Oryctolagus cuniculus: one gene and its partner. Each later gene encodes a partner of the first gene's protein in a complex. Links are inferred from orthologs where the notes say so. Each region holds a gene or a part of one and is shown on either strand. Other genes may lie near its edges. The genes, in order: RASA1 and ARHGAP35.

Region 1 (3,857 bases):
GGGATTCGAGCATCCTGAGAGCCTGGTATCCCGTGGTGGAGGCCCTGGGACCAGTTCCCCAGGGATACTTTTAAAGAGAACACAAAACCCCTCCTTGTGCGCTTTAAGGGTGAGGTCCAGGCTATTACTGTTGAACACCCTGGACAAGGGGCTTGTGCAGGCGCTCCGCCCCGGGCTCCGGCACTTCTCACACCTCCTCACCGTCCACCTGGACGGGCGCCGGCACGGGGCGGCGGACACCGCGCTCCACACCACGACCGCCTGCCCGCACGGCTCCCGGCACCCGCGGCGCTTTCCCGAGTTCCGGGACTGCCGCCTTGGAGCTGACCTGCCAGTGCGGCAGTCGCCGTGCGGTCACTGCGCCCCACACCCGCGCTGCGCTGACCTTCGCCGCGCGCCCGCCCGCCCCGTCGGGCCTCCGCGCCGCCGCTTTTCGTCACCGTCAGCGAGCGCGGCAGTGGCTCCGGTGGGCTCTTCCTTCCGCTCCATGCTCTTCCAGCTCCTCTCGCCTCCCGGGGTTTCATGTCAGCCTGCCACACACACACACAGACACACACACACGCACACACACGCGCGCGCGCGCGCGGCCGGGCCAGGCCGCCGCGCCGCCTCCGCCCCTCGCGGGCCGCTTCCCGCCCCGCCCGCCCCGCGCGGCCGCGCCTGCGCAGAAGCCGCCCTCCGCCTCCGCCGCCCTTCCTCTCCCCGCCGCTCCTCCCCGGCCCCGCCCTCCTTTCTCTCTCTCTCTCTCTCTCCCTCCCGGTCTGTCTCGGGTTTCACTACCCGAGCGCTGCAGGTAGCGAGCAGCGCCGCGGTTTCCTCGCCACCCCGCCCCTCCCGCCTCCCCTGCCCACCCCTCCCCGCGCCGGGCTGGTGGAGGATGCAGCGGCTGCCGGGGCTGCGTCCCAGGCAGCGGCCCCGGCGGCGGCGGCTGCGGTGGGGGTGGCCGGAACTCGGGTGGTGAGCGAGCGGCGGCGGCTGAGGGAGCGGCGGCCGCCTCGGCCGCTTCCCCCGGGCTTCCCTTCCTCCCGAGCGCAGGAAGTTTTCCGCGTCCGTGCATGTGTGTGCGCGTGAGTGTGGGTGTGCGAGGCGAGCCCGGGGCGGCGTTTGTGCCGGCGCTGGGCTTTTTTTGCCCACTTGGCGCTCCGTAACGCAGGCGGCTCCGCGAGTCTGGGCTGTGGCCCGGGGAGGGGGCGCGGCGGCGGCGGCGGCGGCGGCGGCGGCGGGCTCTCTCCTTTTGTTGTTGTTTCCTCCGCCTGGGGAGCTGAAGGGGGGACGCGCCTGGGTGGGGCGGCTCGGAGCCCGGGCCTGCTGGCCCCCGGGGCTCCCGGGCGGGCCGCGCAGGCTGAGCGCAGCGGGCTTCAACATGATGGCCGCCGAGGCCGGCAGTGAGGAGGGCGGCCCGGTGGCTGCCGGAGCCGGAGGCGGCGGCGGCGGCGGCGGCGCGGCCGCGGGCTCCGGTGCCGCCTACCCGGTGGTGTGTCGCGTGAAGCTCCCCGCGGCCGCCGCCCCCTGCCCCGGGCTGGTGGAGGCCGGGGCGCTGGGTGGCGGGGCCGCTGTGGGGTCGGGGTTCCTGGGGGCCGGGTCCGTGGCGGGGGCCCTGGGGGGCGCGGGACTGACAGGGGGAGGCGCTGCTGGACCTAGTGGGGACATGGCCCTCCCCAAGGGGACCCCCTTGCTGCCGGCCGAGACCCTCGGGCCGGGCGGCGGCTTCCCGCCTCTGCCGCCGCCGCCGCCGCCTCTGCTGCCCCCGCTGGGTGCGGGTCTGGGCACGGTGGACGAAGGGGACTCCCTGGATGGACCAGAGTACGAGGAGGAAGAGGTGGCCATCCCGCTGACGGCGCCGCCGACTAACCAGTAAGTGGGCTGTGCGGTTGCGGGCTTGGGGGAAGACGCACCTTGTTCTCTGGCGGCTGTGATTTGTTGTGCAGAGTTGGTGGAGCTGCGGGTGTCGCGCGTAGGGATTTAACTGGAGCGCTCCTCTTCCCGACAGGCGGGCTCCCGGGGCGTCTTTGTGTGTTCATGGCTCCTCTGGGAAGATGTAGTTTTTAAGATGGGACGCATGGGAAAAGTGTGTGTCCAGTGAGAACCGGATATGGTTGTGTGCCCTGCAAATGGGTGCCCCAGGATTCGCCAAGCCTGCCCGGAGCCAAGGCAGTCGCAGTGTACATGGACTTGTGTGTGTGTGCGCCCTGATGAGTTAGTGTGTAGGGATAGCGTGGAGAGAAAACAATCCATTGACCAGAATGCTTTGCTTTTGTGGCACCGACTTCTCCAACTTCTGTCTACGAAGGCAGAGTGATGCAGCGAAGTGTTGATCCCTTAGGCGAACGTGGGTCCGGGAGAAAGAAGAGTTGTGAGAGTTAGGCGTGTGATGAAGGACTCAGGTTCTGAGCTGGTAACGTGTTTCGTAGACTGACTTGGTTGATGGACCTGTAATGCTTTTGTAGTTCAGACGCTCGAAGTACAGTCTTCATGCGAAACAGATTTTAACGGCGCTTCGCTTCAGAATTTTTGTTGGTGGCCAATACGGTCTTCTATTTGAAATTAATTTTGACATTTAGAATATGCAGGGCATGACTTTTTAAATATAACTTAAATGTTGGAACAGGAAGGGACACTAGTAGGCAAAACGTGATCTGTCACATCAGTCTTAAATGATGTTTAGGATTTCAGCAGCCTTGGTGAGCATCAGGAAAAAAACATTTGGTTGGTATGTGGATGGATGGTCACTCTGGACAAGCCAAAGGTGTTTTTTGTTTTGTTTTGTTTTGTTTTTAATACTTTGGAGGATTTAGAAAGACTTTAAAAAGTGATGAGGAGGGCTTGCAGCTGTGGTGTAACAGGTAAAGCTGCCACCTGCAGCAACAGCATTTCACATGAGCCTGGTTGGAAACCCAGGTGCTTCACTTCCAATCCAGGTCCCTGCTAATAACCTGGGAAAGCAGTGGAGAATGGCCCAAGTCCTTGGGTCCCTGCACCTACATCGGAGACCTGGAGGAGGCTCTTGGCTCCTGGCTTCTGCCTGGCCCTTGTGGCCATATGGGATATGGGGAGTGAACCATTGGATGGAAGATTCTCTAGCTCTGTGTCCCCCCCCCCCCCGCAATTCTGATTTTCAAAATGAATCTTAAGAAAAAAGTAATTAGGAAAATTAGGAAAAGATGCTGTATTACTGACACATTAATTTTTTTGTTTGATTTTATTCCAAGTTATTTCATGTGTGTGTCTTGCAGATTTCTTGGGAATGTTAAAAATTGGTTTTTTAGTGCTACTTGCACACCTTCGAGTCTTTTTTGGAAAAAATGACAGGTAAATATTATGTGCACACTTAATATTAAGTACTTATTGCTAAGGTTTTAATAAACTGTAATTTTTCATATTAAAAGAATCTAGTCTTATACCAGTTCATAACTGAATTGATTTAGGCCTATTTAGGATATTGTAGTTCAAAAAATTTTTTAATAGATTGTTATCTAGAGCAATTTTAGCTTACAGCAGAATTGAGTGGAAAGCAGAGTGTTCTTGTTAAATTTTTAATAATAAAGATGAGTGTGTACTTAGGAAAATATGGATTTGTGAGAAGTCTGTTCAGTGAGATTTTCATCATTTTTTTGTATTTAGGAGTAAGAATAAAACTTGTACGTCTGTGTATATGACAGTTGTTGATGTTCTAAAAGTACCCTCCATGTCTAAGTATGCTTTTAAAATATACTACTTAGAAGTGCAAATTTCCTTTTTTTTTTTAATCTTAGATGTCAATCTAGAGTTACTGGAGGCAATATAGTATAGTGGTTCAGTGTGCAAATTCTCAAGTTAGACAAGAGTTGAATTGGAATCATGACTCTCAAATAAATAAA
Region 2 (3,873 bases), on another chromosome or scaffold:
TCTACAAAACCATCTCTACCTCCCAATCGATTTCCTAAGCCCCAGCCCCAGCAGACCACTGAAGAGAACAGCTCAATGAAAGGTAACAAGGCACAGTTCCCAGGTAAGAAGTCTAAATCCACCCCATCAGCCAGCTCCCGGCACCCCTCTCCACGCCATCAAACCAGGTCACCCAAAGGGTTTGCTTGGGGAACGTCATGGCCCACCCACACACCCCTGCACACCGCGCCCCTGGATTAGCCTGTGGATCTGGCCAGAGGCTCTCGGCTCCTGTGGCTGGGAGCGCCTGCAGTGCCAGGGGGCAGAAATCCCTGTGACACTTGGCACTCTCTCTTTCAACAAACAACCGCAAAGCTTTGCAAACCCAGGCCCTCACCAGGCTGCACCAGGCTGAAGACCGGCAAGCTGGAGCCTTCCTGGGGCAGGGGTGAAAAAGAAAGAAACCCACCTCCTCCGAGCCCCTCCCCCAAGGTCAGCCGGCCAAGCGGAGGCCGTCAGGGAAGCCAGGGCTCCGGGAAGCCAGGGCTCCGTGGCTTCTGCAGGCCCAGAGCAGTAAACACCAAGTGTGGCCATAGCCCCGAGGGACTGAGGAGAACTTGAGAACTGGCATTTCCCCAGCTAGGGGTAAAACAGAAACACGACTTGTCAGCTGGAAAAAAACAAAAAAGCACACTCCTAAGATCTCCCAGCAGGACTGCCTTGGGGCAAGTGTCTCCCTGCCCCAGCCCAGGAGAGATAAGGACCTGCGAGCAGCTGCAGTCCAGGGGACACAAAGCTGCAAAGCCCAGGGATGGGAAGGGGAGAGGAAACCAGGCCCGAGTGCGAGCCACTCCCGACACTCCACTAGCCTCGGGAGAGGTGGGAGCCGTGGAGACACTTCCAGACTCCAGGGAGCAGGAACCTATTCACCCGGCTCTCTGGGGATCCTGGGGACAGAGCCCCGGGAGGGGGGGTCAGGTCAGCCTCAGAGCTGAGGGCTGGGGCCCAGAGCCCGCCAGGCCTGCAAAGGGGAAGCACTCCGGCAATGCTGAGCCATGGGTGGGGAGCCGGCAGAGGCAGGTCCGACAGGAACTGGATGGGAAGAGAAGGAGCCAGGCAGGATGCGGTGGGGAAAGGGGGGAAAGGCGAGGAGACACGGAGGCACAGACCGCGAGAGGGGTATGGAGAGGGAGTGACCTAGCGAAGAGCTGAGGCGGCTCCCAGAGGAAGGAACGGCTAAGACGACAGCTTAGTGTCCCAGCAGAGAGGCCAGGGCCGCAGCAGTGGGCACAGAGGGGCAGCAGGTCGGGCGGACCGCGGAGGGAACGGATAGGAGGCAGTTGTCAGAAGACCGGCTAGAGAGGACCCCTCCAACAGGGCACGGCCACAGGACGGCTACCCACAGGCGCACGGGCCGGGGCCGGGGCCGGGGCCGGGGATGGGCGCAGAGCGAAGATGCAGGCCTGGGAGCTGCGGACGCGGCGGGGGCAGAGGCACCGGGCAAGTCCAGGAGCAGTCAGGGGGCAGGGCGGAGGCGGCGGCAGGAAGCAGGCTCGGGCCGGGCAGGGCTGGAGGGGAGACAGTCCCAAAAAGAGGGAGCGGCCGGCAGGGCAGCTCAGAGGAGCCCCGAGAAGAAGGCGCGGACGAGGACACCTGCGAGGGAACTGGGGGTGAGCTCCGGCTGGTTAGAGAGGGCAGGCAGGCACCTTGAAGGGGGAGGAGGCCCAGCAGGCACCGAGGTCGGGCGAGGGGCAGAGCAGGGAGGCAGAAAGGTCTGGAGCAAAAGCTGAGCGGGGCAGCAGGCCAGCACGGCGCACGCAGGGGCTGCGGGGCCAGAGGCCCGGCCAGCAGCATCCCCGGGATGGAGACGAGGGCCCGACGCGAAGGGCTGCAGGGCCCCCGGGGAGGAGCAGGGACGTCCTAGGCGAAGACCTGGGCGCAGCCGTGCCCCCGCGAACGGGGGTGTTGGCTGGATCTCCAAGAAGCACCCGCAGGTCCTCAAGGGACAGCTCCTGGGGGCGCGAGAGACCGGGAGGCAGGACTACCGGACAGGTCCACCCAGGAGCCGGGGCCAGAGCCCCAGCGTGGTGGCAGCAGAATCGGGGAGCGGAACGCAGGGATGCACAAGGGGTCACCGGGGAGGAGGTGGGTCCCCAGGGCACTGCGGAGGCCAGGAGCGGCCAAGGGCATCCCCGAGGGGCAGGGGAGGGGAGGGGAGGCGCGGAACTGCGAGCAGGGAGGGCTGACGGGGGTGGGGGGCCAGGCAGACACCAGGTCCCGACGGGCTGGGGATGGGAGCAGACGCGGGGACAGCAGGCCCCGGGCGGACAGGGGCGAGTCCGAAGGGCAGGCGGGCCCTGCGGGCCGGGCCCGAGCGCGACGCGGCGGGGCCGGCGGGGCCCGGGGACCTGGGGGGCCGCTCCCTCCCCTCCCCCTCCGGCTCCTCCATTGTTCGCGGGCTCCGGGCCCCGCCGTCCCCGCCTCCCCCTGGACCCCGCAGCGGGGCGGCGCCCGGCCTCGCCGCCCGGGGCCCGCGAGCTCGCGCACTCACCAGCCTGCGCCCTCAGCGCGGCCCCGGCCTCGGGGATCCCGGCCGCGGCGACGGCGGCCCCGGCGCCATGTTCCCCTGCTCCTCGTCCAGCGGCGGCTGCGGCGGCGGCGGCGGCTCCGGCGGCGGGGGGCCGGGCGGACCCTCCCTCGCGGGCTCCCTCCTCCGCCTCCTCCACCTCCTCCTCCCGCCGCGCCGCGGCTCTCCCTCGGGGCGGGGGGCGGGGAGGGGAAGGGGGGAGGGGCGGGAACCAGGGGGAGGGCGGACCAGCCTCGCTCGCTCCCTCCCTCCCTCCTCCCTCGCAATGGCGGCGGCGGCGGCGCCTCCTTCCTGCGGCCGCCGCGCCCGCGCGCGCGCACACACACACACACACGCACCCCCCCGCCTCAGGACTGCGCGTGCGCGGCGCGGGACCGCTGCAGGGGGATAACGGCCCCTGGGCGCGCGCCGCGGGAGGGGCGGTGCGGATAACCGGCGCGAGGCAGCGGGAGCCGCGAGAGCGCCTGCGCGCCCGCTGCGGTCTGGGACTGGGAGCGGGCGGTGCAGTGCGCCTGCGCCCCGAGGAAATGCCGCTCCTGCGACTGCGGCGGCGGCGGCGACACCGAGCGCGAGGAGACCCGCGAACGGGCTGAGGGAGCGGGGCGAGCGAGTGCGCGTGCGCGGAAGGGGCTGCCCGAGGCCGGCGCGAGGCGGAGGGCGTGGCCCGCCGTGGGAGCGCGCGTCCTTGCGCGCGCCGGGAGCAGCCGCTGCCGCCCCCCGCAGCCTCGCGCGGTCTCTAGGAGAAAACTGGAGCGGAGAGGCATGGCCTGGCTCTGGAGGCGGGGGCAAAGGGCGCGATCCCGCTCGCGCGGGACCTAGGTAGCCAATGGGAGGCACGGGGAGGTGGGCTTGCCGCGCTAGCCGCGGCCCCCGGGATAACGGAGGAAGAGAGAGAGGGGGCGACGTAACGTGGGGCGGTGGGGCGGGGCCGGGGAGGAGGGAGCGCACCCAGGGAGGGAGTTGATTGGGCAGCGCGAGGAGGCGTGGCCCGCCGCAGCCCAATCCGAGCCTGGCGATTCGTCGTCCCGGAAGAAGGGGCGGGGCTGCGGAGCGCGTGCTCTGCGCCGGGGGACCTGCGCCTGCGACCCGCGTGGCGGCCCGACTTGCTCTTGACCCCGAGGTGGGCCGGGTCCCTGGGACGAGGAAGGCGGCCCGGCCTGGCTCGGCGTGCCTCCTTGCCCGCCAGCCCAGCGCCGGGCAAATGGCTGGAAGGCAGCCGGCGTTACGGACGCTGGAGGGGAGGCAGCGATGGGAGGGGCCGCCGCCGTCACCTTTGAGTCCCCCGAACCGAGAAGGGGTCCCTCTGG

The links.
Region 2: the proteins of RASA1 (region 1) and ARHGAP35 are in contact, whole or in part, in a crystal structure (PDB 8DGQ), measured with the Homo sapiens proteins. The link is inferred for Oryctolagus cuniculus from reciprocal best matches to the Homo sapiens genes RASA1 and ARHGAP35. Residues at the interface, in NP_002881.1 of Homo sapiens: Arg188, Arg207, Ser209, Arg211, Val217, Asn228, His229, Phe230, Arg231, Ile241, Gly242, Tyr256, Leu262, Leu263, Lys264, Lys358, Ser379, Asp380, Asn381, Ser387, Gln397, Arg398, Phe399, Lys400, Met411, Gly412, Gly413, Arg414, His425, Tyr426; in NP_004482.4 of Homo sapiens: Ser1085, Asp1086, Tyr1087, Ala1088, Glu1089, Pro1090, Met1091, Asp1092, Ala1093, Val1094, Val1095, Arg1098, Glu1100, Asn1103, Ile1104, Tyr1105, Ser1106, Val1107, Pro1108, His1109.

What each region holds. Positions count from the first base shown.
Region 1 is NC_091445.1:10,199,063-10,202,919, forward strand, and holds the start of RASA1 (ras GTPase-activating protein 1), read left to right. Parts: upstream 1-987; 5' UTR 988-1,363; coding exon 1,364-1,854; intron 1,855-3,857. UniProt on the Homo sapiens protein: Inhibitory regulator of the Ras-cyclic AMP pathway. Stimulates the GTPase of normal but not oncogenic Ras p21; this stimulation may be further increased in the presence of NCK1.
Region 2 is NC_091449.1:10,575,238-10,579,110, forward strand, and holds the start of ARHGAP35 (rho GTPase-activating protein 35), read right to left. Parts: upstream 2,827-3,873; 5' UTR 2,531-2,826; intron 1,650-2,530; exon of another isoform or gene 1,510-1,649; intron 1-1,509.